Linked DNA regions of Callithrix jacchus. The protein of the gene in region 4 interacts with the protein of the main gene of each other region in a pairwise test. Links are inferred from orthologs where the notes say so. Each region holds a gene or a part of one and is shown on either strand. Other genes may lie near its edges. The genes, in order: FARS2, PDHX, MRM1, AGTRAP, ECPAS, NKG7 and MCEE.

The links.
Region 1: the proteins of AGTRAP (region 4) and FARS2 interact in binary tests that used the Homo sapiens proteins (3 or more experiments, as listed by UniProt). The two-hybrid records come from large-scale screens. The link is inferred for Callithrix jacchus from reciprocal best matches to the Homo sapiens genes AGTRAP and FARS2.
Region 2: the proteins of AGTRAP (region 4) and PDHX interact in binary tests that used the Homo sapiens proteins (3 or more experiments, as listed by UniProt). The two-hybrid records come from large-scale screens. The link is inferred for Callithrix jacchus from reciprocal best matches to the Homo sapiens genes AGTRAP and PDHX.
Region 3: the proteins of AGTRAP (region 4) and MRM1 interact in binary tests that used the Homo sapiens proteins (3 or more experiments, as listed by UniProt). The two-hybrid records come from large-scale screens. The link is inferred for Callithrix jacchus from reciprocal best matches to the Homo sapiens genes AGTRAP and MRM1.
Region 5: the proteins of AGTRAP (region 4) and ECPAS interact in binary tests that used the Homo sapiens proteins (3 or more experiments, as listed by UniProt). The two-hybrid records come from large-scale screens. The link is inferred for Callithrix jacchus from reciprocal best matches to the Homo sapiens genes AGTRAP and ECPAS.
Region 6: the proteins of AGTRAP (region 4) and NKG7 interact in binary tests that used the Homo sapiens proteins (3 or more experiments, as listed by UniProt). The two-hybrid records come from large-scale screens. The link is inferred for Callithrix jacchus from reciprocal best matches to the Homo sapiens genes AGTRAP and NKG7.
Region 7: the proteins of AGTRAP (region 4) and MCEE interact in binary tests that used the Homo sapiens proteins (3 or more experiments, as listed by UniProt). The two-hybrid records come from large-scale screens. The link is inferred for Callithrix jacchus from reciprocal best matches to the Homo sapiens genes AGTRAP and MCEE.

What each region holds. Positions count from the first base shown.
Region 1 is NC_133505.1:25,187,323-25,191,373, forward strand, and holds the start of FARS2 (phenylalanine--tRNA ligase, mitochondrial), read right to left. Parts: upstream 2,801-4,051; 5' UTR 2,660-2,800; intron 2,253-2,659; 5' UTR 2,067-2,252; intron 1-2,066. Other genes in the region: LYRM4 (LYR motif-containing protein 4), read left to right, coding at 3,563-3,648. UniProt on the Homo sapiens protein: Is responsible for the charging of tRNA(Phe) with phenylalanine in mitochondrial translation.
Region 2 is NC_133511.1:100,321,495-100,324,994, reverse strand, and holds part of PDHX (pyruvate dehydrogenase protein X component, mitochondrial), read right to left. Parts: intron 2,721-3,500; coding exon 2,546-2,720; intron 1-2,545.
Region 3 is NC_133506.1:96,873,309-96,876,808, reverse strand, and holds part of MRM1 (rRNA methyltransferase 1, mitochondrial), read right to left. Parts: intron 1,512-3,500; coding exon 1,379-1,511; intron 1,281-1,378; coding exon 1,161-1,280; intron 943-1,160; coding exon of another isoform or gene 779-942; exon of another isoform or gene 247-778; intron 1-246. UniProt on the Homo sapiens protein: S-adenosyl-L-methionine-dependent 2'-O-ribose methyltransferase that catalyzes the formation of 2'-O-methylguanosine at position 1145 (Gm1145) in the 16S mitochondrial large subunit ribosomal RNA (mtLSU rRNA), a universally conserved modification in the peptidyl transferase domain of the mtLSU rRNA.
Region 4 is NC_133508.1:49,618,120-49,622,201, forward strand, and holds the start of AGTRAP (type-1 angiotensin II receptor-associated protein), read left to right. Parts: upstream 1-1,282; 5' UTR 1,283-1,315; coding exon 1,316-1,342; intron 1,343-4,082. UniProt on the Homo sapiens protein: Appears to be a negative regulator of type-1 angiotensin II receptor-mediated signaling by regulating receptor internalization as well as mechanism of receptor desensitization such as phosphorylation.
Region 5 is NC_133502.1:159,831,371-159,835,370, reverse strand, and holds the start of ECPAS (proteasome adapter and scaffold protein ECM29), read left to right. Parts: upstream 1-1,200; 5' UTR 1,201-1,535; coding exon 1,536-1,575; exon of another isoform or gene 1,576-1,654; intron 1,655-1,772; exon of another isoform or gene 1,773-2,007; intron 2,008-4,000. UniProt on the Homo sapiens protein: Adapter/scaffolding protein that binds to the 26S proteasome, motor proteins and other compartment specific proteins. May couple the proteasome to different compartments including endosome, endoplasmic reticulum and centrosome.
Region 6 is NC_133523.1:44,955,802-44,959,732, reverse strand, and holds the start of NKG7 (protein NKG7), read left to right. Parts: upstream 1-1,131; 5' UTR 1,132-1,334; coding exon 1,335-1,491; intron 1,492-1,567; coding exon 1,568-1,714; coding exon of another isoform or gene 1,715-1,800; coding exon 1,801-2,048; coding exon of another isoform or gene 2,049-2,098; 3' UTR 2,099-3,931.
Region 7 is NC_133515.1:42,764,122-42,768,102, forward strand, and holds the start of MCEE (methylmalonyl-CoA epimerase, mitochondrial), read left to right. Parts: upstream 1-1,181; 5' UTR 1,182-1,210; coding exon 1,211-1,250; intron 1,251-3,981. Other genes in the region: MPHOSPH10 (U3 small nucleolar ribonucleoprotein MPP10), read right to left, coding at 661-755. UniProt on the Homo sapiens protein: Methylmalonyl-CoA epimerase involved in propionyl-CoA metabolism.

The DNA.
Region 1 (4,051 bases), on a different chromosome or scaffold from region 4:
GAAGAAGAATCGCTTGAACCCGGGAGGTAGAGATTGCAGTGAGCTGAGATTGCGCCATTGCACTCCAGCCTGGGCAACAAGAGTGAAACTCCGTCTCAAAAAAAAAACAAAAAACAAAAAAAAATAATAAATTATGGTACTTACGAAGTCTTCAATAAATGCTGAAGGAAGGAAGGAATGAGGAAGGCTTGAGTTTGTTCATCTATACAAATGAATGAGTTGATATATAAGGTCTTCCCCCTTCATATTCTATTAAAATGAAGGATCAATGTATAATACTTAGATTCATGTCTGGTGTAGGATAGAATAATTTTTTTTCTTTTGGTTTTTTTTTTTTTGGAGAGGGTCTCACTCTGCTGCTCAGGCTATAGTGCAGTACCGTGATTATGGCTCAACACAGCCTCGACCTCCAGGACTCAAGCAATCCTCCCACCTCAGTCTCCTGAGTATCTGGGACTACACGCTGTCTCCTGAGTAGCTGGGACTACAGGCACCTGCCACCACTCCCAGCTAATTTTTGTACTTTTTGTGTAGAGATGAGGTTTGCTATGATGTATTTTTTTGTATAGATGGGGTTTTGCCATGTTGTCCAAGCTGGTCTCAAACTCCTGGGCTCAAGTAATCTACCTGCCTCGGCCTCCCAAAGTGCTAGGATTACAGGTGTACAGCACCATGCCCACCTGAATAATTTCTAAATAATATCATAAGTTACTATTTCTATACAAATTTTACTCCATACATCACTTTGATATTTAAGCTTCAGGACAGTAAATTGTTGTTATGCTGTTTATTATGATTTGAGAAATTTCTCTTCACACAGCACTAGGTGGTCATGGACAACCCTAATTTTAATAGAAGATAATACAAGATTTTACATAAAGAACTATAGTTACTTGATAACTTTGGATAAACGAAAAACGAATACTAAAGAAATTTTTATGTTTTGATTCCTAAATGGTACCTCCTATTGTAGATATTCCCTAAGAAAAATTTCAACCCAGAACAGAATGCATGTTAAGGAACATATGGGTATGGTCCATTCTTCAGCTTCTGGCCCATTCTACTTACAGTCTCAAATAGAGTTACTTTCTTCTTTTTTAAAAACAAAAAAAGGCATCTCCACAATAAAGATATGCAAAAGTGAGATGTAGCTTTTGAATTAATATTTTCTATTAGCCTCTCAAGGCAATGATGTCCATCAAACTGGTAAACCATTTTAAATAAAATAATGAGGTATTTTTGTGAAGACTTGGCTCAGAATTAACTGGGAAGCTATCGCTTTCCTAACTGCAACCATTGCTTGTACTAACAGAGGACAAGGCTACCCAAACTATCTAAACTATACATATTTACTTGGAAGTTTTATTTGATTACCACAAAGTTGAGTCATTTAGATACATTAATTATATACATTAATGATTAAATTCCTTAATAGGTTGAAACAATTGTAACTGGCTTACTGCAACCTCCACCTCCCAGGTCCCTGATTCTCCTCCATTAGCCTCCCAAGTAGCTAGGATTACAGGCACGAGTCACCAGGCCGAGCCAATTTTTGTATTTTTCAGTAGCGTGTTGTACTGGCCCGAGCATAGAAAGTTAACACCAAGACAAAAGTATGCCAAATTGCAGGGTCTTAATTGCCGGCGGTCACGGAGGACTCTCGTCTCTCCAACCCGTGGCCCTGAAAGGAGGGTGTCAAGAACTTTTACGCCTGTAAACCACCTTGGGGGTGAGGGTGAGGGGCTTTAGACATTCCAAGGGCCAGTGGATTCCGTAAATTACCTCTGGGGCGGAGATGAGAGTGAGGGGCTCCGGACATTCCCAGGGCCAGAGGGCTTTGGATATTCCGATTGTGGCTTAAGCGGTTTACAGAAGTCAAGATAAGTGTTAGTTTACACGTTGTCTGGATATGGGTGGAAATTACAGACCTTAGTTACTTATTACAAGTCGCAGGGGCCAAGATGGCGTGGGTTTGGACTGCTTGCCTGTCACATCAGGGTTACAGAGAGCAGTTTCAACACAAAGCCTAGGTATGGTTGAGGTATGCAGCTTTATGGGGCTTTTACCATGTCACAACGACGGGGTTTCACCATGTTGGCCAGTCTGGTCTTGAACTCTTAACCTCATGATCCGCCCGCCTCGGCCTCCCAAAGTGCTGGGATTACAGGCGGGAGCCACTGCGTCCAGCCCTTTTGTTTTTACGTATAAAGGTACTCCTCACTGTGCTTGAATGCAGAAAGGTGTCGTTCTTCCTAAGGTTATGTAAAGCAAGATTCCAAAAATAAGAAAATTGCTTTGCGAACACAGTACTAGAATTGGCTGAGGCTTCCCTGCCTCCAGTCCCATGCTCAAAAATTAGAACAAGCAACTTTATCCACCACTTTAATAAGGTAATTCAAAAAAGTTTAGGTCAAGCCATGGGAGAAAACTTGCTCTGCTTCTTGGAGAATACCTAAACCCCTAAAGGTCTCTAATTATTCTCCGAGGTCTACAGCCAGGCTGCATTTTACAAATTTATTAGTTTACAAAACCACGGGGACACTTCACTCAAAAGCAAATCCACATCAGGAAAGAGGAAAAAAATCCACGGCCAATGTAAACCCCCTACCACACCAACTGCCCACGTCGCACCCCAGGCTGCAACGAGGCCGGCACTCACCCACCGCTCTCCCGGGAAACCCAGACCCAAGTGTTTCAAAATCGGAAGCGTGGCAGGCTAGTTCGCTCTCAGGGCAAGAATCTTAAACCCCAACTGAAGAGACACCCCTGTACGCTGGGCACCGCCATTTTGACAGAAAGCGGGCCTGTCCCGCAGGCCCCTATGCAGGTCGCCCTGAGCAGCGCCGGAGTACCACAGAACCCCTGGCTCATCACCTCCACACCCAGACATCGCGCCTCCCAACATAGAGAAGGCCATGAAACCCCATCCAGCCGAGCAGGATCGGGCGAAGTCAAGTCACCCTTGAAATCCCGCAAGGCCTCTCAGGCAGCACTGAGGGCGGCCGCAGCCAGTGGGGGCGGGGAATCGGCGGTCAAGGGCGGGCCTTCGGCGCGGCGGCCTTCGGTAACCCTGGCAACGCAGCCTCCTGGAGGTACTAAGGGCCGCTGCGCCTTGAAACACAAATGTCCCCTCCAAGACCCCGGACGGTTCGCAAAGGCTCTCCGTGGTGCAACTGCAGTTCTCTCGGATGCTCGCGCCTCCGATCTTCGTCCCCCAGGGGCTTGGCTGGATGCCCCGACGGCCAGGCCTCTAGTTTCCCCGCCTTTCAGCCGCTTGGAGCGGCTGCTGGGTCCAGAGCCTCCAGCCGGGGGCTGGGCGGAGCGGAGGCACCTCCCTCCAGGCACCGCCCCCTTAGCTGCCCCGAGGCCTGCCTGTGCCCGCCTTGGAAGAGGCCCGGGATGCCGGGTGCCGTCTGCGGTCCTCAGGGGTGCCCGCCTAGCTGGCAAGGCCGAGCCGCCGCACTTTATTTCGTTCGTAGTTTCTGCACAGGCTGAAGTTCCGTGGGTTGGGCTGGACTTGGGACCTCTCCGAAGAGGACCCGTTTGTTTTTTTCTTTCCAAAATGGCAGCCTCCAGCCGCGCACAAGTGTTAGATCTGTACCGGGCTATGCTGAGAGAAAGCAAGCGTTTCAGCGCCTACAATTACAGGTGACGCGGCGGTCGCCGGGGACCGGGGGCCGGGGGCCGGTGGCCGGGGGCCGGGGGCGCGGGCTGCCGCGGAATGTCCTTGGAACCACCGTCCTGCGCCGGCGGCCGCGAGAAAGGGACCGGGTTCCGCCATAGAAAAGCGTGCTCCTGCCTGCAGGTGTGGCCTCTGAGACCTCGGGGAGGAGCGGAGGGCTTGCTCTTCTTTCTACCAGGGAAGACGTTCACGTCTTATAACGTTTTCCCCCTAAAGTCTACCTTGGTTGGTGCTCTCGGAGCATGATTAGTGTTATGTTTCTGCAGAAGAGAAAAAAAAGATGGAAATCAGCCATTGGTGAAGTTAAGGCCAATATGTTGCATACGTAAAACTTCCCTAGAGCGTGGAAATGGCCAGTGAGTAGCACAC
Region 2 (3,500 bases), on a different chromosome or scaffold from region 4:
CAATAGATATGTGTGGGTGTACACACATACATGGAGAGAGGAAAAAGAAGAGAGACACAGACATAGGCCATCTGTAAGCAACTTTTGTTACAAATATCACTTAACACAACTGAAATAAAACAGCCAATAAATCAACAAACCAACTATTAATATATAGTTGCCCTTTGACTTACAATGGGTGACATTCTGATGAACCCATCGTAAGTGGAAAATATCATAAGTCAAAAGCGCATTTAACACATCTAACCTACTGAACATCACAGCTTAGCCTTAGCCTAGCCTACCGTAAATGTACTCAGAACACTTACATTAGCCTACAGTTGGGCAAAATCATCTGGCTACACCGTACACTGCAGAGTAGCGGTTGTTTACCCTGATGATCATGTGGCTAACTGGGAGCTGTAGCTGCCCAATGTTCCCCAGCACTGCAAGTACATACTGTATTGCTTTCTATTGAATGTGTATCACTTTTACACCATAGTAAAGTCAAAAAATTTTAAGTTGAACCACCTTTTCAAGTACACAAGAAACATCCACCAAGACAGACCATATTATAAATATAAAATAAATCTCAATAAATTTGAGAAGATGATTGTTCTAAAAACGCAGTGTGTCTCATCTCTAACACAGTGGAGTTAAACTAGAAATCATGAAAGGTAAATGAAGGGTCTTCAAATATTCTGAAATTAAATTTATACTTATAAACAACTTTTGGATCAAAGAAATTACAAGGAAAATTAGAAGGTGGGGACCTTCTATACAGGCAATTCAATTACTTCTATCTTGATTTGCAATTTTTAAAAATAACATGAGTATCTTATTTCTTAGGGATTCATAATAGAAAGTATGAATGAGATAATAAAATATTCTGGTAACTTCATTATAGTTGTTCCATTCTGTTCCATGGACAACAAAGCACAATAGACTTTATATCTAACTCCTTTCTTGTCCTTAACTCTATTTTGGGATTTCATTACAATCACTTCAAGATAATACAAAGCAACTGAAAGAAATTAAACACTATGTTAGCAAAGTACTTGGTGACGCAGAATAAATGCTCTCCACATATTATAAGCATTTGAAAGTATGGTTTACCTTCCTAATTTGAATAACTTTTTGTTTTGGAGATAGTCTTCCTCTGTAACTCAGGCTTGAGTGCAGTGGCATGATTATAGCTTACTACAGCCTCAACCTCCCAATCTCAAGTGATTCCCTAACCTCTGTTGCCTGGGTAGTTGACTACCCGGCTAATTTTTAAATTTTTTGTAGAGATGAAGCCTCACTATGTTGTCCAGGCTGGTCTTTGAATGCCTGGGCATAAGCAATCCTCCCAACTCAGCCTCCCAAACTGCTAGCATTACAGGTGTAAGCCACCACACCCAGCCTTGAATAGCCTACTTTTTAAAGACATATGATTGGACTATACATATCTTATATTGAGTGTATAGTTCACTCTTGGACTATACACTATATAGTCCAATTACATGTCCTTAAAAGTAGGTTATTCCAGTATGTAGTATATTAATCATGAATGAATATTTGAAAATCTGTTTCCCATGAAGGCTGTACTGTTTTAAACTCTTTCAAAATATCATTTAGTATATAGTTCTCCATTAGAAGGAGTACCGATTTATCTATTTATTTTGCTTTTTATTTTTTTAAGTGCCCATTTGCGCACTTAAATAAACTTGGTTATCCTACATTTCTTCTGATAGGAAGTAACCTGAATAGGAAAGATAGAGAGGCAAAATGGAGTAATTTGAAAACAAAAGGGGCTGCTATACTGCATGCATCTGAGAAGGAAAGAATGACTATATAGTTCTTTATAGTGGGATTAGCAATTCCCTAGTTAAAAAATAAAACAGCCAGAAAAGGGAGCTAGTGTCAGGTACCAATTATTAGTATTACAGTTGAGAAAAAAAGACATGATATTATAGAGAATATATATGTTATTGAAGTTGTGGAACTTGTGGTAACTTTAAATTGAATTATAGTTCTAATGTTTAAATTGAATTATAGTTCTAATGTTCATTTGAAAGTTAACATACAAATTTTGGTTTCTGATAGAAAATCTGTAAAACGAAGCATTTGGAGTGTTTTATTTCTTTATTGCTTTTAGCTACTACTGCAACAGATTAGTAAAACGAATCTGTTTTAAAACTACTCTTAAAACACATAGTAATTGTTCTTATTTTCTCTTTCACTAAATTTGAAAAATAAAAATCCAGGCCGGGTGCAGTGGCTCATGCCTGTAATCCCAGCATTTTGGGAGGCCAAAGCAGGCAGATCACTTCAGTTAGGAGTTCGAGACCAGCCCGGTCACCATGGTGAAACCCCTTCTCTACTAAAAATCCAAAAATTAAGTGGGCATGGTGGTGCGCACCTGTAATCCCAGCTACTTGGGAGGTTGAGGCAGGAAAATCTCTTGAACCTGGGAGGCAGATGCTGCAGTGAGCCAAGATTGTGCCACTGCACTCCAGCCTGGGTAACAAAGCAAGGTTCTGTCTCAAAAAACAAAAAGAAAAATCCATTTAGAGAACATTACCACTGCAAAGGGTTGTCCAGGAGTCGATACTGGTGGGATCATAGGCCGGGGATAAGATGGCCCAGCTGTGGCCTGTAGGGGTGAAGGTGCTGTGGGAGTGGCTGCAGGGGCTGGGGCTGGTCTGGACTCGGTAATCTTGCCCATCTGTTTCAACTGGGCAAGTCTGAGAGCATCCCTGGAAATAAGAGCAAAGTAGATAACCACAATTAGCAATAAGGATTTTAAGAGAGCTTTAAGAAAATGCAGATGAAATGTGGAGAAAAGATACAGAAACATACAGATGTCAAGGTTATTATTAAAAACCAATTATTTGACCTAGAAAATTAAATCCTGTTTCTTACCTGGTCTGTGGACTCCCATTATTTGTCATGTTTTAATATTTGCATATTTTCAAAAACCAAATAATAGTTAGAATTTTATTAAAATTGGATATAGACAGTGATTTTTAAAAAGGAAATTGGTCTTTTTTCCGTGCAGTGGATGTTATCTGGTACACGAACAATTAAACCATATTCTCATCCTGTATGCTCACAAAATGATATTCACATGGCATTCAAAAAGTGCCAAGTTTATTGTAAACATGGCTTTCACCACAATATTTTCTATATTATTGTTCACTTATTGTTTCATTGTTTATTAAGGTGCAAATCAGCTTATTCATGACCAGGAAACCAAAGCATTTTAAATTTTGCTCAATATGTCATCAGTACAACCTAATGTAACAAATCTAACCCATGATATTTTTTAGAATGAAAAAAATAACTAGTTACAGACTTGCCTTTGTATTATTCTTTAAAACAAAGTTATCTTTGCCTTGTAAAAAAATTGTAATTAGATTACTAAATATGTCAAGCTGTTAACTCACTATGCTAAGTTACAGTGGTATTAGGCAATATATTTTCTTAAAATAATTTTTAGAAGTTTAATATCCAATAATTAATTATATTTTTGCCAA
Region 3 (3,500 bases), on a different chromosome or scaffold from region 4:
AGCACCAAATCTGTTTCCGTTGCACAATCCACGGCAAGCCTGCCCCCAGGTCCTCCCCTTGAGGGGAACTGACTCCGTCACCCGTAGGGGTCCCAGTGGGGTGGGAGATGTTTGCTAATTTCCCCTGGCCTCTCATGGGGCTGCAGCCGGGAGTCTCCCCAGCAAGGTGGCGGTGGAAGCGGCCTGAAGACTGGACAGAAGAGCGAGGCTGCCACCTAATGGAGGAATAGGCCAGAATCTACCACGTGCTGGCTGACGTTTTATTTGAGCCTCACAACCCTGAGACAAGCCGAGGTAGCGAGCCACAGGAAGATGAGGCCTGAGCTCAGGGCTCCACGGTGGGGGCCGCGTGTGGTCCTGCGCATGCGCACTGTCTACCCATATCGAGGCCCCGCTCTCTCCACCCCCCACATTCTCACACACACATTCGCCACGGGCAACGACCGGCTCTAGAAGAACAGGGTCCCTGGGCTGGGCTGCCTGCCTCCCTGCAGGTGTCTGAACCTCCCCCCGACTTCCAGGCAGGGCCTGGGAGGACAGATTCCCTCCATGCTAGCCCATCATGGAAATCAACAAACTACCATATCCTACTACAGGTCCAACATCACGACAGGAAACAGCTTCTTCTGGCCTCCACAGCAGTCCCCTTCTCCCGGGCAGACTGTGGTCAATAAACATGGGCCTGATGCACACTCAGGCAGAGCCTCCCGCACACTGGAGCAGGCGATGTAGTCCCTGACTACAGCATGTGTACGTCGCGGACAGTCTGCCTCAGCCCTCATTTTGCCTCTTTCTCTGATCCTGAAGACAGCCCTGGGTGCTGAGCCACGCTGAGTCCTTTGGACCTGGCTGAGGATTCTTGGGGGTCTTGGAGAAGTTGCCTTCTCTCCCCCTCTGCGGGAAAACCCTTTCTCTGGCTGCAAATGGAGTGAAGAAGAATTCCTGCACAGACACAAGGAACAGAAAGAGAGACAGAAGAGGAGGATGTCTAGAGACTAGACATGTGCCAGGCAGCCCCTCATTTCACCAACAGGATGTATTTTCCCCATTTTGCACATAAAGCAACTGAGGCACACAGACAGCTGGCAAACGGGATTGGAGGGAATCCAATCCCACCTGTGTGATTAGAGGGAGAGGAAAGGGAAGGGGACAAGACGCACCTGCAACCACAGAGACGTTCAAGGACTCAAATCCCGGAGGCAGCTGGCGCCGGGGCAGGATGGTGAGGAGCAGCTGGCAGGAGGCCTGCACTTCCTGGGACAGACCTGAGCCCTCATTCCCTGCAGGGCATGGGGCCAAGGTTTAGGGCTGCCCAGCTGGACACCCAATTGCTCGGGAAATGTAATCTGAGCAAAGAAAAGCAGGGCCATCCACTTACCCAGCACAAGGAGAGTAGGCTGATCCCAGAGGAACTCCAAGGAGCTCGTGATGGGGATCTTGGAGGACTGGGGAACCTTAGGCCCTGGGCAGCCCACCGTGCCAGCCACAAGCCAGCCCTGCTGGGCTTTGGTCTGAAAGGAGGAAGAAGATATCATGTTCTATCTTTTGTTTCGAGACATTGAGACAGAGTCTCATTCTGTTGCCCTGGCTAGAGTGCAATGGCACAATCTTGGTTCACTGCAATCTCTGCCTCTTGGGTTCAAGGGAATTCTCCTGCTTCAGCCTCCCAAGTAGCTGGGATTATAGGCATGCACCACCATACCTGGCTAATTTTTTATTTTTAATAGAGATGGGGCTTCGCCATGTTAGTCAGGCTGGTCTCAAACTCCTGACCTCAGGTGACTCACCCACCTCGGCCTCCCAAAGTAGTGGGATCACAGGTGTGAGCCACCACACCCGGCCCTGATATCATGTTCTAATTCTTTTTTAATTTTAATTTTGAGAAAGGGTCTTACTCTGTCACTCAGGCTGGAGAGCAGTGGCACAATCACAGCTCACCACAGCCTCAACTTTCTGGGCTCAGGTGATCCTCCCATATCAGCCTCCCAAGTAGCTGGGACTACAGGCACTTGCCACCATGCCCAGCTAGTATTTGCATTTTTTTTTTTTTTTTTTCTGAGATGGGGTTTCGTCATGTTCCTCGGGCTGGTCTGGAACTCCTGGGTTCAAGCAATCCTCCTGCCTTGATCTCCCAGAGAGCTAGGATTATAGGTGTCAGCCACCTCGCCTGGTCCTCATATTCTAATTCATCCAATCTTCATCAGAGCCCGTGCACTGTGGCTCAAGCCAGTAATCCCAGCACTTTGGGAAGCTGAGGCAGGCAGATCACCTGAGGTCAGGAGTTCAAGACTAGCCTGGCCAACATGGTAAAACCCCATCTCTACCAAAAATACAAAAATTAGCCGGGCCTGGTGGCAGGCACCTGTAATACCAGCTACACAAAAGGCTCAGACACAAGAATCTCTTGAGACCGGGAGGCGGAGGATGCAGTGAGCTGAGATTGTGCCACTGCACTGCAGCTTGAGTGACAGAGTGAGACCCCATCTCAAAAAAAAAAAAAATCTTCAGTAGGACCTGATGGTTCACACCTGTAATCCCAGTACTTTGGGAGGCCGAGGTGGGTGGATCACCTGAGATCAGGAGTTTGAGACCAGCCTGACCAATATAGAGAAACTCTATCTCTACTAAAAATACAAAATTAGCTGGGTGTGGTGGCAGGTGCCTGTAATCCCAGCTACTTGGGATCCTGAGGCAGGAGAATTGCTTGAATTCCCCTCTCACTCTCTTGATCTCATAGCAGTCAGCCCCTCCTGTCACACTGAATCCAAGGCCTTGTCAAAGTCACCAATGGCCTCCATGTTGCTGCATTCCGGGAGGCGGAGGTTGCAGTGGGCTGAGATCGCGCCATTGCACTCCAGCCTGAACAACAAGAGCAAAAGCCCATCTCAAAAAATTTAAAAAAGAGAGATGGGGTCTTGCTGTGTTGCCCAGCCTGGAGTATGGTGGCCAAATCACAGCTCAGTACGGTGTTCTAATTCCTTGGCACAAGCCATCCTCCCACTTCAGCCTCCTGAGTAGTTGAGGATACAGGTGCACACCATTGCACCCAATTTTTTTCTTTTTTTCTTTTTCTTTTTTTTTTGTAGAGACGAGGTTACAAAGGCTGCTTTTAAACTCCTGGCTTCAAGAAATCCTCCTGCTTATTCTCCCAGAGTGCTGGGATTATAGGCGTGAGCCACCTCACCTGGCCCTGGATCTCTTTTCCATATATGTTCATCTCTTATTGGTCTCATCTAGCCTCATGACTTTAAATACTATCTGAATTCAACCCCCGACACCCCCCAACCCCCCACCCCCACCAACTGTATATTCTAGGCTGGACCATGCCTCTGAGTTCCAGTTTCACTCCTCTACTTGCCTACTCCACAGTTGTTGTTTTGCTGTTAGGTGGGCATTTCAAACCTAACTTTTGTTTTTTGAGATGGAGTCTTGCTCTGTCAGGCTGGAGTGCAGTGGCAGATCTAGGCTCACTGCAACCTCTGCCTCCTGGGTTTAGTAGA
Region 4 (4,082 bases):
TAGGTTGGGCGAGGTCTTGGTGGTCCGAGAGTGGGGGCAGGGTGGATAGGGCGTGGCAGTGATAGGGTCAAGTACGTCACTTGTCGTTCAGGTATGGCTGAGGAATTTCTGGCGCCCGAAGTGAAGTAAGGAGCATACTGCATCAGCGCCTTTTCCATACTTATCAAGAAAGAACTACAATATTAAGATTTATATTACTCTTACTGATTATCTTTTCTAAGAAAAAAGGAAACAGGAGCAGAAGTAGAACATGAGAGTAGCCATGGAACGTGATCACGGAAGCACAGCATCACATAGAAACAGTTAAGCCTCCGGATGTCTGCGGGCCTACCTGACAGCCGTCAGGCCTACCACAAGAGCTTGGAGAAGCGGAGTTTTCTCCAAACTTCCCCAGGAAGGAGACGTCTCAGCCATTTTGGGCATCTCCTTCCCTAGCTGGCTAAACAGCGGGCGCTTTCCCGGCGCTGGCGCTGCCGCACAGTCGCGGCGCCCTCCAGCAGCCCTTATACAGGCGTGATAGAGGGCTTAGAGCATCTTGCCTTAGTGTCATTCATTTCACAAGTCACCCCAGGTTCACACTTCCGACCTGAGAGGCATCAGCAAAAGAATTAAGATCACCTATAAATAACTAAGATCACATATGAATAACTAATAACTACTAGGGTTATATTTCTAGTTGCTTTCTTCTTCATTATTTATACGGAAATAGGCTGAGGCCTTTTGCTCCAGGCTTGGCGCTTATGGGATCTCCCCCCAACACCCCACAGCAAGTCTTCAACAGTACTGGTTTAACAATTGTCCCAATAACGTTTTCTTTAACAACAGTGGTTAGCTCATTTAATCCTCACAAGGATCACCTGAGGTAGGTATCCTAAATAACCCATTTACACAGGGAAGTGGGGAGGAGACAGGGTGCCCCCGGGGATGAGGCACAAGCTGTTTCCACATCAGCACTTCGCGCCTGGACGGTCCCCCAGTTGTCCTGGCTGCAGGTAGTCCCATCAGCCCGCCTCCTGGGATATTTGCCAGGCAGGAAACCTCCTGAGCGACAGAAACTCCAACTTTTGCCAGCGGCCTCCAGGTACTGCCTGGGCAGCGGCGGGAGCCTGGAGCCTGGGGGAAGGCGCTCGCTGCGGACGCCGTCTCCAAGCAACGGGCGGCGGTCACGTGACCCGCCCGAGCCCGCTTCACGTGGTCGCGAGCTGCGCTGGGGTTGGAGTCTCCGCAAAGGGCGGGGCGGGACCGGTGAAGTTTTTTCCCCTGGGGCCCAGGAGCCCCAGCTGCTGCCGCGCAGGTGCCCTCGGCCTGGGTCCGGATGGAGCTGCCTGCAGTGAACCTGAAGGTGGCGACGGGCGGGGCAGGGTCCCCTTTGCGGGAGGGGGTGGGACATTTGCATTTTCCAGGAAGGTGGGAGGACTGAGGGATGGGAGGGAGAAAGGGAAGGTACAGACCCCAGGAGAGAAGGAGGTGGGCAGGCAAGCCACAGCAGGAAGAAGGATCCAGGTACAGGCCAGCAGGGTGATGCAGAGCGGCCGTTGGACGTGGCAGGGCAGGGCTAGGGCTGTCCCCTCCCGGACTGAGACCCTCCAGCGGGCAGGGCCGGTCCCACGTGCTGTGGCCCACACGCCCAGAATTCCCCTGGAGGAGGAGGAGGAAGGCGGGCGGGAGGGGCTTGGAGGCGGCTCACCTCCCCGGCGTGAGTACAGGGGCTGGGCCTGTCCCCGGGTCCCAGCAGCGTCCCGGGAGCCTCCTCCTGTGCTAAATCGGGTTAAGGAAATCACATGTTCCCAAACAATTCGTTTTATAAAGTTTACACATCCAGCGCCCTTACTTCATAATCAAGAAGCACGAACCCCAACAGAAATTACTTAAAAGCAGAAAACCCCAACTTTGTGCACTTGGGAAAACTCTACAGAGCTTCCTGGGGTGTCTTCATTTCCCGAGCCCTGAGCTCAGCCGGGTCTTGGTGCCAGCGGCTGTTCTTTTTCTCCCCGCCCAGCCCCACCGCCCCCGTGTCTGGGCTCTGTTTGCGTTAGTGGGGCTAGGGGCTTTAACTTTGGTCAGGAAGCTGTGGACCTTGAGCCAAACCGGCCATTTTGGGTCTTAGTGCAGCCTCCTTTGAGGCAGTATCCGGGAATGTCCTCTTACTCATGAGTGACAAAGCATTTAGCACCCTGTTGGTGTCTGGGACTAAAGGAACCTGAGAGATAGATGGTTACAAAACAGTGGCTTAATACACGTTTATTATTATACAACATATGTGCTATGACTTGCATTGGACACGTTTCCCTTTTTTTTTTTTTGCGACTGAGTTTCACTGTTGTCGCCCAGGCTGGAGTGCAATGGCGTGATCTCAGCTCACTGCAACCTTCGCCTCCCAGGTTCAAGCGATTCTCCTGCCTCAGCCTCCCAAGTAGCTGGGATTACAGGCGCCCACTACCATGCCCGGCTAATTTTTGTATTTTTAGTAGAGATGGGGTTTCGTCATTTTGGCCAGGCTGGTCTTGAACTCCTGACCTCAGGTGATCCCCCTGCCTCAGCCTCCCACAGTGCTGAGATTACAGGCCTGAGCCACTGTGCCAGCTACATTTCCTTTCTTAATCATACACATGCTTCAGCAAACCTTCCTGAACGTCCAGTCAACAGCGGAGGGGAGAGATGGCTGGAGCAAGGGAATGGGTTTGCATAGAAAGTTCAGCTGGGAAGAAATTTACATGACAGCAACCTAGATTTGTTGGTATCAGTATTCACTCTATCCCAGGCAAGGTGGGGTTAACACCAACTGCCTTTTCTCTGATTAGGGATGTGCTTAAAATAATTGCTAAGAGAGGATCAGGTGAGATCGGTGGGAGAGACAGAGCTCTCATTTATGGGCGTCTGTGTTGTGCCAGGTTATTTATTTAATCAAGGTAACCTTATGAGAAAGCTGATACAGTCATCTTTTTACAGATTAGCAAACTTCAGCTCAGATTGGGTGACTTGCCAAGGTACCGCAGGGAGTAAGTGGCAGTGTCAGTATTTGAACTCACAGGGATCAGACTCCAGGGCCAGGTCCTTTCTGGGGTACCAGCTTACTCAGGGCTGACTTTGACCTCGGCTGTTTGTGTCCTTTGGGAGGGCTTAGTCTCTCTGAGGTTTTTTTTGAACAACTTTTTGGGCCTGACAGGCTGAGCATCCACAGGTATGAGCTATGCTGGCTTTCTGTATCCAGGATGAAAAGGCTGGTCCTTCCCTTGACTTGGCACATAAGACCCCCTGTCTCCAAGGGTCTTGGCCACTACCAGAGACAAGAAAGTGCTGGGAGGCCCTGAGGGATCAGGGTTGCCAGGTCATATATAGAATCTCCTATACATGACCAGGTGAACTTGAATTTCAGATCAACAACAATCAGATTTTTACTTTTATTATTTATTTATTTATTTTTTTGAGACGGAGTTTTGCTCTTGTTACCCAGGCTGGAGTGCAACGGCGCGATCTCAGCTCGCTGAAATCTCCGCCTCCTGGGTTCAGGCAATTCTCCTGCCTCAGCCTCCCGAGTAGCTGGGATTACAGGCACGCGCCACCATGCCCAGCTAATTTTTTTTTTTTTTTTTGTATTTTTAGTAGAGATGGGGTTTCACCATGTTGACCAGGATGGTCTCAATCTCTCGACCTCGTGATCCACCTGCCTCGGCCTCCCAAAGTGCTGGGATTACAGGCTTGAGCCACCATGCATGGCCCCCAATCAGATTTTTAATATGAGTATGTCTCAGGCAATATGTGGGACATATTAACCAATTATTCATGATCTGATGTTGGAAATTAACTGGGTGTTCTGTATTTTTTTTTGAGATGGAGTCTTGCTCTGTCACCCAGGCTAGAGTGCAGGGGTGCGATTTCAGCTCACTACAACCTCTGCCTCCCGGGTTCAAGCGATTCTCCTGCCTCAGCCTCCTGAGTAGCTGGGACTACAGACACACGCCACCATGCTCAGCTAATTTTTGTATTTTTAGTAGAGATCGTATTTCACCATGTTGGTCAGGCTGGTCTCAAATTCCTGACGTCATCATCTGCCCACCTTGGCCTCCCAGAGTGCTGGGATT
Region 5 (4,000 bases), on a different chromosome or scaffold from region 4:
GAAGGACTTTCACTTTTCATTTTATAATACTCCAAATCATTTGCATTTTTTACAAAGATCATGTATAATTTCTATAATAAAAACAATAAAGGAAATAAGAATGTCTTCACTGTTGTACCTTGTACATGGCCTATGTTACACAGGAATGACATATATTCCATTTTCAAGACATTACTTAGGGGTTTACAGATTTCTGCTTTAAAGAATAAATGCAATTTCAATCCATTTAAGAGTCATTTCTTCTTATACCAAAAAAACAAAAACCTGATCTTGTATCTAATTTGTTATGACAATACCATCACTTAAAGTACAGCAATTATACAACCCCTTAATTTGAATTTCATTTTGCAAGTGTACAAGACCTCACGGACAAAGAAAAGGCAGAAAGTTAAAATCAGCACATCTAAAATAAATCACTCTGGTTACCAAAAAGACGTATGCTATCTCAACAAAATCTTAGAGCTCACATAGGCATAGGTACTTCCCTGTAAACTTTAGGAATCTTGCTCATCTAACTTTTGCAGGGCTGAGTGAACCTTCAGCTCCCGTCAGTCGTTTCGGGAGCACCAGCAACCTCCACCCCAGCACGGGACTGTAGGGGGCCACTGCGGCGCAGGGGCTCGCCCGACACTGAGTCAGCGCCGGGCCCGAGAAGTTCGGCAGGAGGCGCAGGGCGGGGCTTCCTCCCGCCGACTCCTAGCCGGGCTATACTTTTCCGAGTCCACGTCTCTTCCTTTGGACAGGCGTGTTTCCCTAGGTCGGGCCCAGCCAGCGTGACAGCCGCAGACCTCGGAGAAGGGTGCTCCGGCGCCGCCTCGAGGACTTCCCCTAGCCGTCAGGGCAGCCCGGGCCCGCTCGGCCCAGCCCATCACGGACTGAGACTCCCTGGGCCCGGCCCGCCGAACGCCTCGCTCCACAGCCCTCACTTCGCGGCGCCGAACTCAGCGTCCGCGGCATGGAGACAGGCTCCGACTCAGGTCAGAGGCCCGCGCCAGGCTGGCTCCGCGCGCGCGGCGGGGCAGTGAGGCCGGGCCGCCCGCGCAGACCGCCGCGTGCCGGGTCCGCGCGGGTAGCGCACGCGGGGCGGGCGGCGACAGGTGGGCAGGACGAGCCGCGAGCGAGCGAGGGCGGGCGGGCGCGCGAGGGGCCCGGCGGGGGGGCCGCTGGGAGGATGGCTCAGCTCTTTCTAAATATAAAACCGGCGTGAGCTGGGCGAGTGCAGCGCGGAGTCGCAGAGCCGCCGCGCGGGCCTGGCGCACGGGGATTCGGCCACACAGACGGCGGCGGCGGCAGCGGCGGCTCCGCAGAGGCGCGAGGCTGCGGGAGCGCCCGAGTCGCGAGCTCGCGGGGGCAGCGAAGAGCGACGCTCGCAACGCGGAGGACGCAGGCGGCGGCGGCGGGCGGGCCTCGGGGCGCAGCGCCGTCCGCGCCGAGTGACCGGAGGCGGCTCCCGGCCTCTGCCGCACCGCGAGCCGCGAGCCCCCTGGCCGCACCCTCCCCCTCCAGCTCCTCCCTCGCTCCCTCCCCGGCGCAACATGGCTGCGGCCGCCGCCTCCGCCTCCCAGGATGAGCTGAGTAAGTGCTGCGGCCGAGCCTGCGGCCACGAGCCGAAACAGAAGCCGCGCGGGACTGGGGGGGCGGCGGCCGGGGCCGGGTAGGAGGGCTGGGGCGGGCGGGCGGCGGCCGCGGAGTGAGGGGGGCTGGGGCGCTCGGGCCTGTGGGCGGGCGGGGCGCGGGCCGTCGCCGCTGGCGTTTGTAGGCCTCAGGTTTGCACCGTCACGTTGCGAAATTGAAACCGGAGCCTCAGGCGGAGCCACCTCTGCCCGCGATCCGCCCTGGCCCTGGGTGGGGGGAGTCTAGCCCCCGGCCCGCCGAGCCTTGGCTGGCAGGAGGGCCGGAGCTCCGGATGACGGGCAATGTCCGTCCGTCCCGTCTGACCCCGCCGTGGCCTCGGGTCCCCGACGGTTGGCGAGTTCTAGAAATGTAGCTCTCGGGAAGGGGGAGAAGGTGCCTTTCTGTGACACTCTAGAATATCAGCCGAAAGGTCACGAATAGGCGGTGACCCTCGGGTGGAGTAGGGAGGGCGGGAGGGCGGAGAGGGTCGCGGGATGAACCGCTGGAGAAACCGCGGGGTGACAGCGCTTTCAGAAAGGAGGGTCAGTGCCCCCTCGACCGTACGCGGTGCAGCCTTCCCAGGGACGGCGGTCCCTGTCCGGGGAGAGCAGTGGTCACCCTGAATCCCAGGCCGCCCCGCCCGCCCCCGGGGTTCGCCTCGATGCTTTGTGGGAAGTGTAGTCCCGGGGCGCCGCGGGCCCACGCTGGGGTCATAAATACTGAATTTTCATAGGACATAGGACATGTGAGATAATTTCTGATTGCGTTTTGGGTATTTATTTTCCGAGGGTTTTCTTTCTTCCTTTTATTTATTATTTGTCAGTGCTGCCCTTCAGTTTATGGCAAAAACAAGAAAGGTGTTATTTGTAGATGATGTGGGTTTTAAATGGAATAAAGAGTGGATGCGGTGTTGCAAGCTTTATGAAGCTTACGTTGTTAAAGCCGCTTCTGAATTTCCATATGAAAGTAGTTATACACGTAATTTATGTTTCTTTGGTGCTTGTCAGTTTAAAGCTACTTTTATATACATGATCTCACTTTTGCCCTCATAGCAACCTTGTGAGGCAGATAGGTAGGAATTATCCTTGTTTTAAAGAGGAGGCAGGTTTGGAGAGATTAGGTTCCTTGCTGCTTTGACACAGAACTGGTGGAGCGGGAGTACTGTTTGCTCTTTTTGAAGCTGAAGTAAACACTTGGTGTGATCCTGAGTAGATTGGAGAGTCGGAGAAGGCAAGGTCTCATGGTGCGGTTAGAGATACAAGTGGGCTGAATAGGCTGCTACTCTGACAGTTCCACGTGGAAGCACCACCAGGCCTTCTGAGATCAGTTCTGTGTTTTGTTTTTAATTGTGATAAAAATACACATACCATAAAACCTACCATCCTTGCCGTTTTTAAGTGTACAGTTCAGTTGGATTGAGCACATTCTCACTGTTGTGTAATCATCACCACCTTCCGTCTCTAGAACTCTTCATTATGCAAAACTGAAACCTGATACCCATTAAACAACAATCCCTATTCCCTCCTCCCTTTCAGCCCCTGGCGACCATCGTTGTACCTTCTGTTCCTGTGATTTTGAGTATATTTGTACCTCATGTAAATGGAATCATACAGAATTTGTGACTGGTTTTATTTTCATTTAGCATAATGTTCTCCAGGTTCATCCATGTTGTTGCATGTGTCAGAATTTCTTTTTCTTTTAAAGGTTGAATGATACTCCCTTGTGTGTATATACCACATTTTCTTGTCCATTTCTCTGTCTATAGACGCTTGGGTTGCTTCCACCTTGTAGCTATTGGGAATAACGCTGTTGTGAAAATAGCTGTACAAATATCTACTTGCTTTCAGTTCTTTTGGGTACATACCTGGAAATGTCATTGTTGGATCATGTGATAATTCTAGTTTTAAGTTTTTAAGGAACCAGTGGACTGTTTTCAACAGTGGTCGTACCATTTTACATTCCCATCAACGATACACAGGGTTCTAATTTCTGTACATCTTGGCCACCACTTATCTGTGTTCTCAGAAGTAACCATCCTGATAGGTGTGAGGTGGTCTGATTTTTTTTTTCAATTGTTATGCTATATGACATCTGACTTCCTGTTGTAACACCAAACACATTCAAATCTGAATTGCTAGCAGGAATGGGGAACAAAACTAGAGGAAGAAGAATTGGGCATTCTGAAGTGGCTGAAGTATTTGGGTCTATGCAGTGTGCTTCCATATATTCAGGTACTGGTTAAGATGCTGATAGTTAAGGGATTTCCTGGCTTTAGTAGTTAATGGCAAGTTAGGAACAAATAATTGAAATCCTTGCCTTCCCCTTCCTTTGTTCGGTTAAATTATCAGTCATTAGCCACAGATAGATACCTGTTGACTTGGTTTTT
Region 6 (3,931 bases), on a different chromosome or scaffold from region 4:
GGAAACTTACAGTCATGGTGGGAGGTGAAGGGGAAGCAGGCACCTTCTTCAGAGGGTGGCAGGAAGACGTGTCAAGCGAAGGCAGGAGGAGCCCCTTGTAAAACCATCATGCCCTGTGAGAACCACTCACTAGCATGAGAACAGCACGGGGAAGCCATCCCATGATTCAATTACCTCCACACGGTCTCCACCTAGACACACATGAATTACGGGGATACAATTCAAGATGAGATTTGGGTAGGGACACAAAGCCTAACCATATCACCCTGTTTCACAGAGGTCAGGTTTTTCTGGGCCTTCTTCCTGGGCTGTGGCACCTTCACCTTATACCTGCTCACGGGTGAATGTCGCCAGGACCTGATGTTGGTGTGGATGGAAGAAGCTAGCGTTTGGAGGGCTGGAGAACCCTGGACTGGAGTCCTTATGTCCCCCAACAACCCCTAAGCCCCCAGTCCTGGTGATTAAAGGCCACCAGGCCCACCCAAGCAGAGATGCCACTGAATTCATTAATCAGATGAAGATGTGGGCATGTCTGCAACTCTGCAAACCTTTCAGAATTGTGAATCTCTGCTGTTTACCTGCCCTTAGCATATGTTCCAAACGGGCCCAGGATTCTGAGCTTCTGCCCGCTCCTTCCTCCCTCAGGACCTGGAGTTCAGGCCCCCAGTTCCTTCTTCCTTAAGCCCCAGGAGTTCTAACTCCCAAGCCCCCTCCTTTAGCAGAGACCCTAGACTTGGGGCCTTCCCCTCCCAGAATGGAAGACTGCAGAACCCACAGGAAAGCATGACACATCCCCAACTGTCCCCTCTGGCCACATCTCCCCACCCACTTAACACACACTCTAGCCTGGCTGGCTTCCTCCCACCTCAGGGCCCCCAAGCCTCTTTCTCTCTCTCACCTCTTCCTGGAAGCCCACACTTGGTGTTGAGGGCTCCACAGGTGGGAGTCATAGGACCTGTGACAGAGGCAAGTTCTAAACCACCACCCAAACCACTGACGATCTGACACCCTCCGTGTCCTCCCCCACCACACATGAAGGAGGGAACCGGACCCCGGGGAGGGGAGGGAGGACGTTGCCTGTGCAATCCAGGAAGGGAGGGTATGTGAAAAGAGTCAGCTACCGGGAACTGTGTGAAACCAAACCAGCCTCATTTGACAAAGCACAGGACCCCTTGCTGCCCCAAGACTGCTTCCTGGTCGCTCTTTCTTGAGCTCAGAGGACCCAGGAGTCCAGGTGCACAGCCTCCAGGTGTACAGCTTCCTCCTCTCTGAGATTCCAGTCCGATCAGCAGCCTCTTCCTCCCTCAGGACCCAGAAGCCCCGAGCTTACCCCCATGGAGCCCTTCCGGTCCCTAGCCCTGCTTACGGGCTCCCTGGGCCTGATTTTCTGCCTGATTGCTTTGAGCACCGACTTCTGGTTTGTGGCTGAGGGTCCCACCTTCTCAGCTCACTCGGGCCTCTGGCCAAATGAGCATGGGGACCCCGTAGCAGGTAAGGGGAGGGGGTGTCCTGGGGTGGGGGAGGGTTGCCAGAGGAGACGGTTGCTCAGTGGTCTCCCCGTGATCAGGCTACATCCATGTGACGCAGAGCTTCAGCATCCTGGCTGCCCTGTGGGCCCTGGTGTCTGTGAGCTTCCTGGTCCTGTCCTGCATCCCCTCATTGTCTGCTCCTGGCCGAGGCCCCCTTATCTCAACCATCACAGCCTTTGCTGCAGGTAAGGACTCTGAAGTGCACTGGGGCATTGGGAGCCAGCAAATTCCTGCCGAGGGACTGAACCATCTTTCTTGTCCTTGTCTCCAGCCCTCTCCATGCTGGTGGCCATGGCGGTGTATACCAGCGAGCGGTGGGATCAGCCTCGAAACCCCCAGGTCCAGACCTTCTTCTCCTGGTCCTTCTACCTGGGCTGGGTCTCAGCTATCTTCTTGCTCTGCACAGGTGACTATCCTGCCCACTGCCCTGGGGAGCTTGGGAGGGCCCAGCTGGGGTCGCTGAGGATGGAGGGCAGGGGGCAAGTGCTTAAACTCTTTCTGACCACCCAGGTTCCCTGAGTCTAAGTGCTCACTGTGGCAGCCCCAGGCCTGGCTATGAAACCTTGTGAGTGGAAGGCCAGAACAGCAAGACGAGTTTTGATTGCTGTATTCAAAGGCCTCATCTGGAGCCTCGGAAAGTCTGGTCCCACATCGGTCCCGCCCTTCCCCAGCCATTTCTCCTGTTTCTTCATTCATTCAACAAAATTTGGCTGGAATCTGGCTATTTGAGATTAATTCTGCCAAGACATAAGCCAACCGTCTGCCAGCTCCATGGTGGGTGATGCCAGGCACCCAGGGAAGGTGAGGGCCCACCAGGCCGACCACCTGCAGGGCGCTCCTGCCCAGCAAGAGGGCCTGACCTGTGTCTGTCTCTCCCCTTCTCCAGTGCTTTTCTTTCTCCTGGTGTCTTTCTCCCTTTAGCCGGCTCTCTTTCCTTCTCTCTCCCTCTCTGATTTCATCCCCCTTGCCAGAACTCGGTCCTTCCTTGCACTCAGTCTCTCTCAGTTCTCTTTGCACATTTCCCCATGCTGGGGACACAGGCACGGGCCAGACTCAGACCCTGCCCACCACGGGCTCAGTCTGTGAGGCAGTGGGGAGAAGGCACTTACAGACCAGAAGCAGCTAATACAGGTCAGACAGCAGGCCCAGTGCAGGCAGGACACTGGAACAAGACTGACCATATTGTGGAGGGATGGAGATGACTTCTCTGGAGAGAGAATGTTTAGGGGCTTCTTAAGGGCCAAGTAAAGGAAATATCCAGGCAGAGGGAACCAAAGATGGATGCACAGAAAGGTCAAGAATCTTGTGGGGATGAAGAATGGTAATTTATGGCCAGGACATAGAATGTAGCGGGCAGGGGATGGAAAAGGAAGAGGGAGAGGCAGGTGGGGGCTGTGTCCTCTAATGTCACACTGGACTGTCTCCTGAGTGTGATGGGGAGTTCAGAGAAAACTGGGCAGGCGAGAGACAGTGTCAGCTCTGGGTGCCAGAAAGACCCCCTTGTAGACATGGAGGGGAGGCCAGAAGGTCAGGGAGGAACCTGGCAATGTAGTAGGTGAGACAGGACAAGGCCTGACCTGGGACCAGGAAAGGAGGGAATGAGCCAGATAGATTCAAGGGCAGGAGGAGCAGGACTTGGGGACCCAAGACTTTTCAGGGTGAGAGGCAAGAAGAGGGCAAGGACAGTGCCCAAGGGTCTGGCTCAATGAACTGGATGGGACGGCAGGGCCATCCCTCATATGGTGGAAGACACTAAGCTCAATTGGGATATGGTGGACTATTAAGGCCCTGAGGGGCAGCCAGGAGCAGAACTTGAGTCTGGGGCTCATGGGAGAGACCTTGGGTTGGGGATGGAGTTTGGGAGGCTGTGACAGCATTAAGCGGCACTGAAGCTGGTGGTGAGGAGGCTTTCCTGGCAAGGGAGTTCAGGGTGGAGCTTCAAGGGATACCCAGATTTACAAGTGAAGGGGAGAAGGCAGAGGAACAGAAGTCTGTAAGACAGCTGGGGACCTGGAGAGCTTCTGGGGTGCCTGGAATGTCAAGTTTCTTTCTTTTTTTTGTTTTTTGTTGGAGTTCAGTGGTGTGATCTCAGCTCACTGCAACCTCCATCTCCTGGATTCAAGCAATTCTCCTGACTCAGCCTGCCGAGTAGCTGAGATTACAGGCATGTGCCACCATGCTGGCTAATTTTATTTTGTTTTGGCATTTTTGAGATGGAGTCTTGCTCCGTCACCCAGGCTGGAATACAATGGCGTAATCTCACCTCACTGCAACCTCCATCTCCTGGGTTCAAGTGATTCTCTTGCCTCGGCTTCCCAAGTAGCTGGGATTACAGGTAACTGCCATCATGCCTGGCTAACCTGACTAATTTTTGTATTTTTTTTTTCTTTTTTTTTGAAACA
Region 7 (3,981 bases), on a different chromosome or scaffold from region 4:
ACAACTCTATTTTGGACACAGTGAATTTGAGATGCTTGACAGTACCAAAATTTTAAAAATCGTTAAAAGTTGTACAGTGCGGATATCCCAGTTGTGAACTTGAATTCAAACCAAGTTCAGTCTGCAGTTACTATGAGCCGGGAACTCAAGGAGAGGTTGGAGTTTGAAATATAAATGACTAATAATATTATAGATCATATTTGAAATTCTTCAACAAAATACGTGTAAAACACTTGTGCTGGGAAGAGACATGAAAGTTCTAATTATCAAGAAGCTTAGTGGTGGGGGCGGAGAGACAAGTGACCAGTTCATACATTCAAAAAAGTATGCTCAACACTGAGTGCTTTAGGAGCATATAGTTGGAACCAACAGCTTGCGTGTAGACGGATGGGGGCGAAAGAAGCCTCAAGGGAAGCATCTAGGCGTTAATAAGTGAGGTTGGGGTGATTACAGTAACACTCAACTGACAGATCCATACTGTACAAATATTAACAATTTTAAAAATTGTGATAGCCTAGGAAGGTATAAACTCTGAAATTTGGGGAAAAGTTATTTACATTTCCCCTTACCTTCCCCCAGCTCCACAGTTTGCCGGAGGCCGGCAACCCGCGTCCACGTGAGACCCTGGTCGCACCCAGAGCCCGGGATCCGCGCACTTACGTGAGGAAGCACTCGGGCCGACCAGTGGCTTTGCCGACTTCTGTCAGACAGAGCTCCAGGGTCCGTCGACGCCAGACTGTCGACGTCGGTGCCATGGCTGTCAGGAACTCCCGACACAAAGCCGCATGCAAGGGAAGTGAGCCGCCAGGAAACCGCTCCGCAAAGATGCGCCTAGCACAACTTGGATTTCAGAGTCGAAAGTTCCGCTGTGCACAGGGGGTTCCGGACTCACCCTCAGCTGGAGCCAAAGGCGGCGCGAGCGCTTTCGCTTCTGCAGGGGGGCGGGAAAGAAAAATCGCCATGGTCAGCCCAGACGCCTTTGAACTCTCTCCAAACTTCGTTTTGTATTTTTCAGGGGCCCACAAAGGGTGACCAGTTCTGGCTTTAAGTTCCTCCTTTAGCTAAAGTAGGCATGTTGTAGCAGGAAAGCAGCGACCTCCGCCACGCCCCTAAACTATCTGTCCCCGCCCCCTCTGCCTCCCGCCCCGCCCTCCCCAGCTCGTCTCTCTTGGTCCCAAGCTAGTCGGGATGTAGCGGATTGCTTTCCAAGATGGCGCGCGCGCTGAAGGCGGCGGCCGCGAATTCCGTAGGTGAATACTGGGCACCGGCGAAGGTCGCCGTGGGGCTGGGCATGTGGGAACGGAGGTCAAGGGGCAGAGGAGGCCTCGGCGTGGCCAAAGCCCTTGATCTAATGCCCTCTCTCCTCCGAGGACGCGTTCTACGGTGGCTGCCAGCACCTAGGGGGTCCCTTCCAGAAACGCCTCCCCTTAGCGCGGGGGTTGCCTTATTGTGCATGAGTCCCCTTGCCATCTAGGAGCTGTTTGCCCTGGGCGCTGCACCTTCTAGCATGCGGGCAGGAGAGGCAAGGGAACTTGCCCGGCTGGTCAGGCAGGCCAGGGACAGAAGTAAATAGAAGCGGGTTGTTAAGTTATTCTACCGCGCACCAATAAAAAGACTGGGGAGAAACCAGAGAGGAGAGCAAGTCCTCCTCGGCGGAACTCCTAGCATGATCAGCTATTGGAAACACTCCAAGGTCGTGTAAAGAATAGAAAAGGAGGCCAGGCGCCGTGGCTCATGCCTGTAATCACTGCACTTTGGGAGGCCGAGGCGGGCGGATCACGAAATCAGGAGTTCGAGACCAGCCTGGTCAACATGGTGAAACCCCGACTCTACTAAAGATACAAAAAATTAGCCGGTTGTGGTGGCGCGCGCCTGTAATCCCAGCTATTCGGGAGGCAGAGGCAGGGGAATCGCTTGAACCTGGGAGGCGGAGGTTGCAGTGAGCTGACATTGCGCCATTGCACTCCAGCCTGGGCGAGAGGGCGAGACCCTCTCTAAAAAAAAAAAAAAAAAAAAAAAAAAAATCCCAAAAGGAGTGCTTTTTTTCCCATATCCACTAATATATTTATTATCACGTACTTAGAAAGATAAAAACATGTGGATTTGTAAACTTCCTTGAGTTCGCTCCGCTTTCATTTTTAAAAAATATGTAGATAGAACCAGTTGTGACAGAAATAACTGTCATAATTGTCACGTTTTCTGACTCTCACTTACTCCTCTTTTTATTCTTTTTTTTTTTCCTCTTCCCCCTTTTATGAGAAGGCAAGCATTTACCTTAATCTGAGATTCCCTATTAGGAAGAAGGTGCCAAGTGGTAATGCCCAGAGTTAATCTGGGACATTCAATGTAAATCCTTTTAGTAGCAGAGCCCACATTCTTAACCGTAAGGCATGCCCTCTCCTTAGGTGATACACAAAATCGGAATGTAAAAATATAAAGAAATGAATATTTGGGAAAAGGTACTTTTATGTCTGTATTTTTAGACTGCACACTTTAATGGTTGACGGTTTAGGAAGAGTATGACTTCCAACAGGTCATATACGTACTGCAAGAACTGAATACAGATAAAGATGCATGTTTGTTTTGTAACTTACATACACTTCTTGGCATAAAGGAAAAATGAAGATAGTGTATTCCAAAGATTGACTTTGTTTTATTGAAATACTTGAAACTTAATGGCTCCACTTTTGTGTGTGTGTGATTGAGTATATGTAAAGGAAAATGTACCTTTTTTTTTTTTGAGGCAGAGTCTGTTACCCAGGCTGGAGTGCAGTGGCGTGATCTTAGCTCACTGAAACTTCCACCTCTCCAGTTCAAGCCATTCTTCCGCCTCAGCCTCCCAAGTAGCTGGGATTACAGGCGCCTGCTGACACCACATCCCGCTAATTTTTTGTATTTTTATTAGAGACGGGATTTCACCATATTAGCCAGGCTGGTCTCCAACTCCTGGCCTCAGGTGATCCTCCCGCCTTGGCTTCCCAAAGTGCTGGGATTACAGGCGTGACCTATCCCCAAGGCTTCCCAAAGTGCTGGGATTACAGGCGTGACCTATCCCGCCCAGCTAGAATTTGCCATTTTAACATTGTTAAGTATATCAGTGGCTTTAACTACACTCATTTTGTTGTGCAACAAACAGTCACCACCTTCCTCTAGGGAGCTTTTTCATCTTACCCAAACTGAAACTTTGTACCCGTTTACACAACACCTCCCTGTTCTCTGAGCCAGCTCTTGGCAACCACCATTTACCTTCTCTGTGAATTCTGACTGCTAATATAAAGTGGAATTACACACTATTTTTCTTTTTTGTGTCTGGCTTATTTCACTTAGCATGATGTCCTCAAGGTTCATCCATATCTTAGCATGTGTCAGAATTTACTTTTTAAGGCTGAATAATATTCCGTTGTGTGTATATACCACAGAATGGTGGCTTACCCCTCCCTATAATCCCAGCACTTTGGGAGGCTGAAGTGGGTAGAACTCCTGAGGTCAGGAGTTCAAGAAACAGCCTGACCAACATTGTAAAACCCTGCCTCTACTAAAAATACAAAAGTTAGGTCAGGTGCAGGGGCTCATGCCTGTAATCCTATCACTTGGGAGGCCGATGAGGGTGGATCACCTGAGGTCAGGAGTTCGAGACCAGCCTGGCCAGCGTGGTGAAATCCCATCTCTACTAAGAATACAAAATTAGCCGGATATGTGCCGGGCCCTTGTAATCCCAGCTACTTGGAAGCTGAGGCAGGAGAATTGCTTGAACCCGTGGGGCGGAGTTTACAGTGAGCCCAGATCACACCACTTCACTCCAGCCTGGGTGAAACAGTGAGACTGTTTCACCAAAAAAAAAAAAAAAAAAAAAATCAACAGAACTATGCTATATTAACCTGATGGTGATGAGAATCTTTTGGATATTTTGTAGACTGGGGCATAGTAGAAGACCATCTTAGGCTGAATTTTGCCCTCTACTGACTTATGAGGCATCAAGTT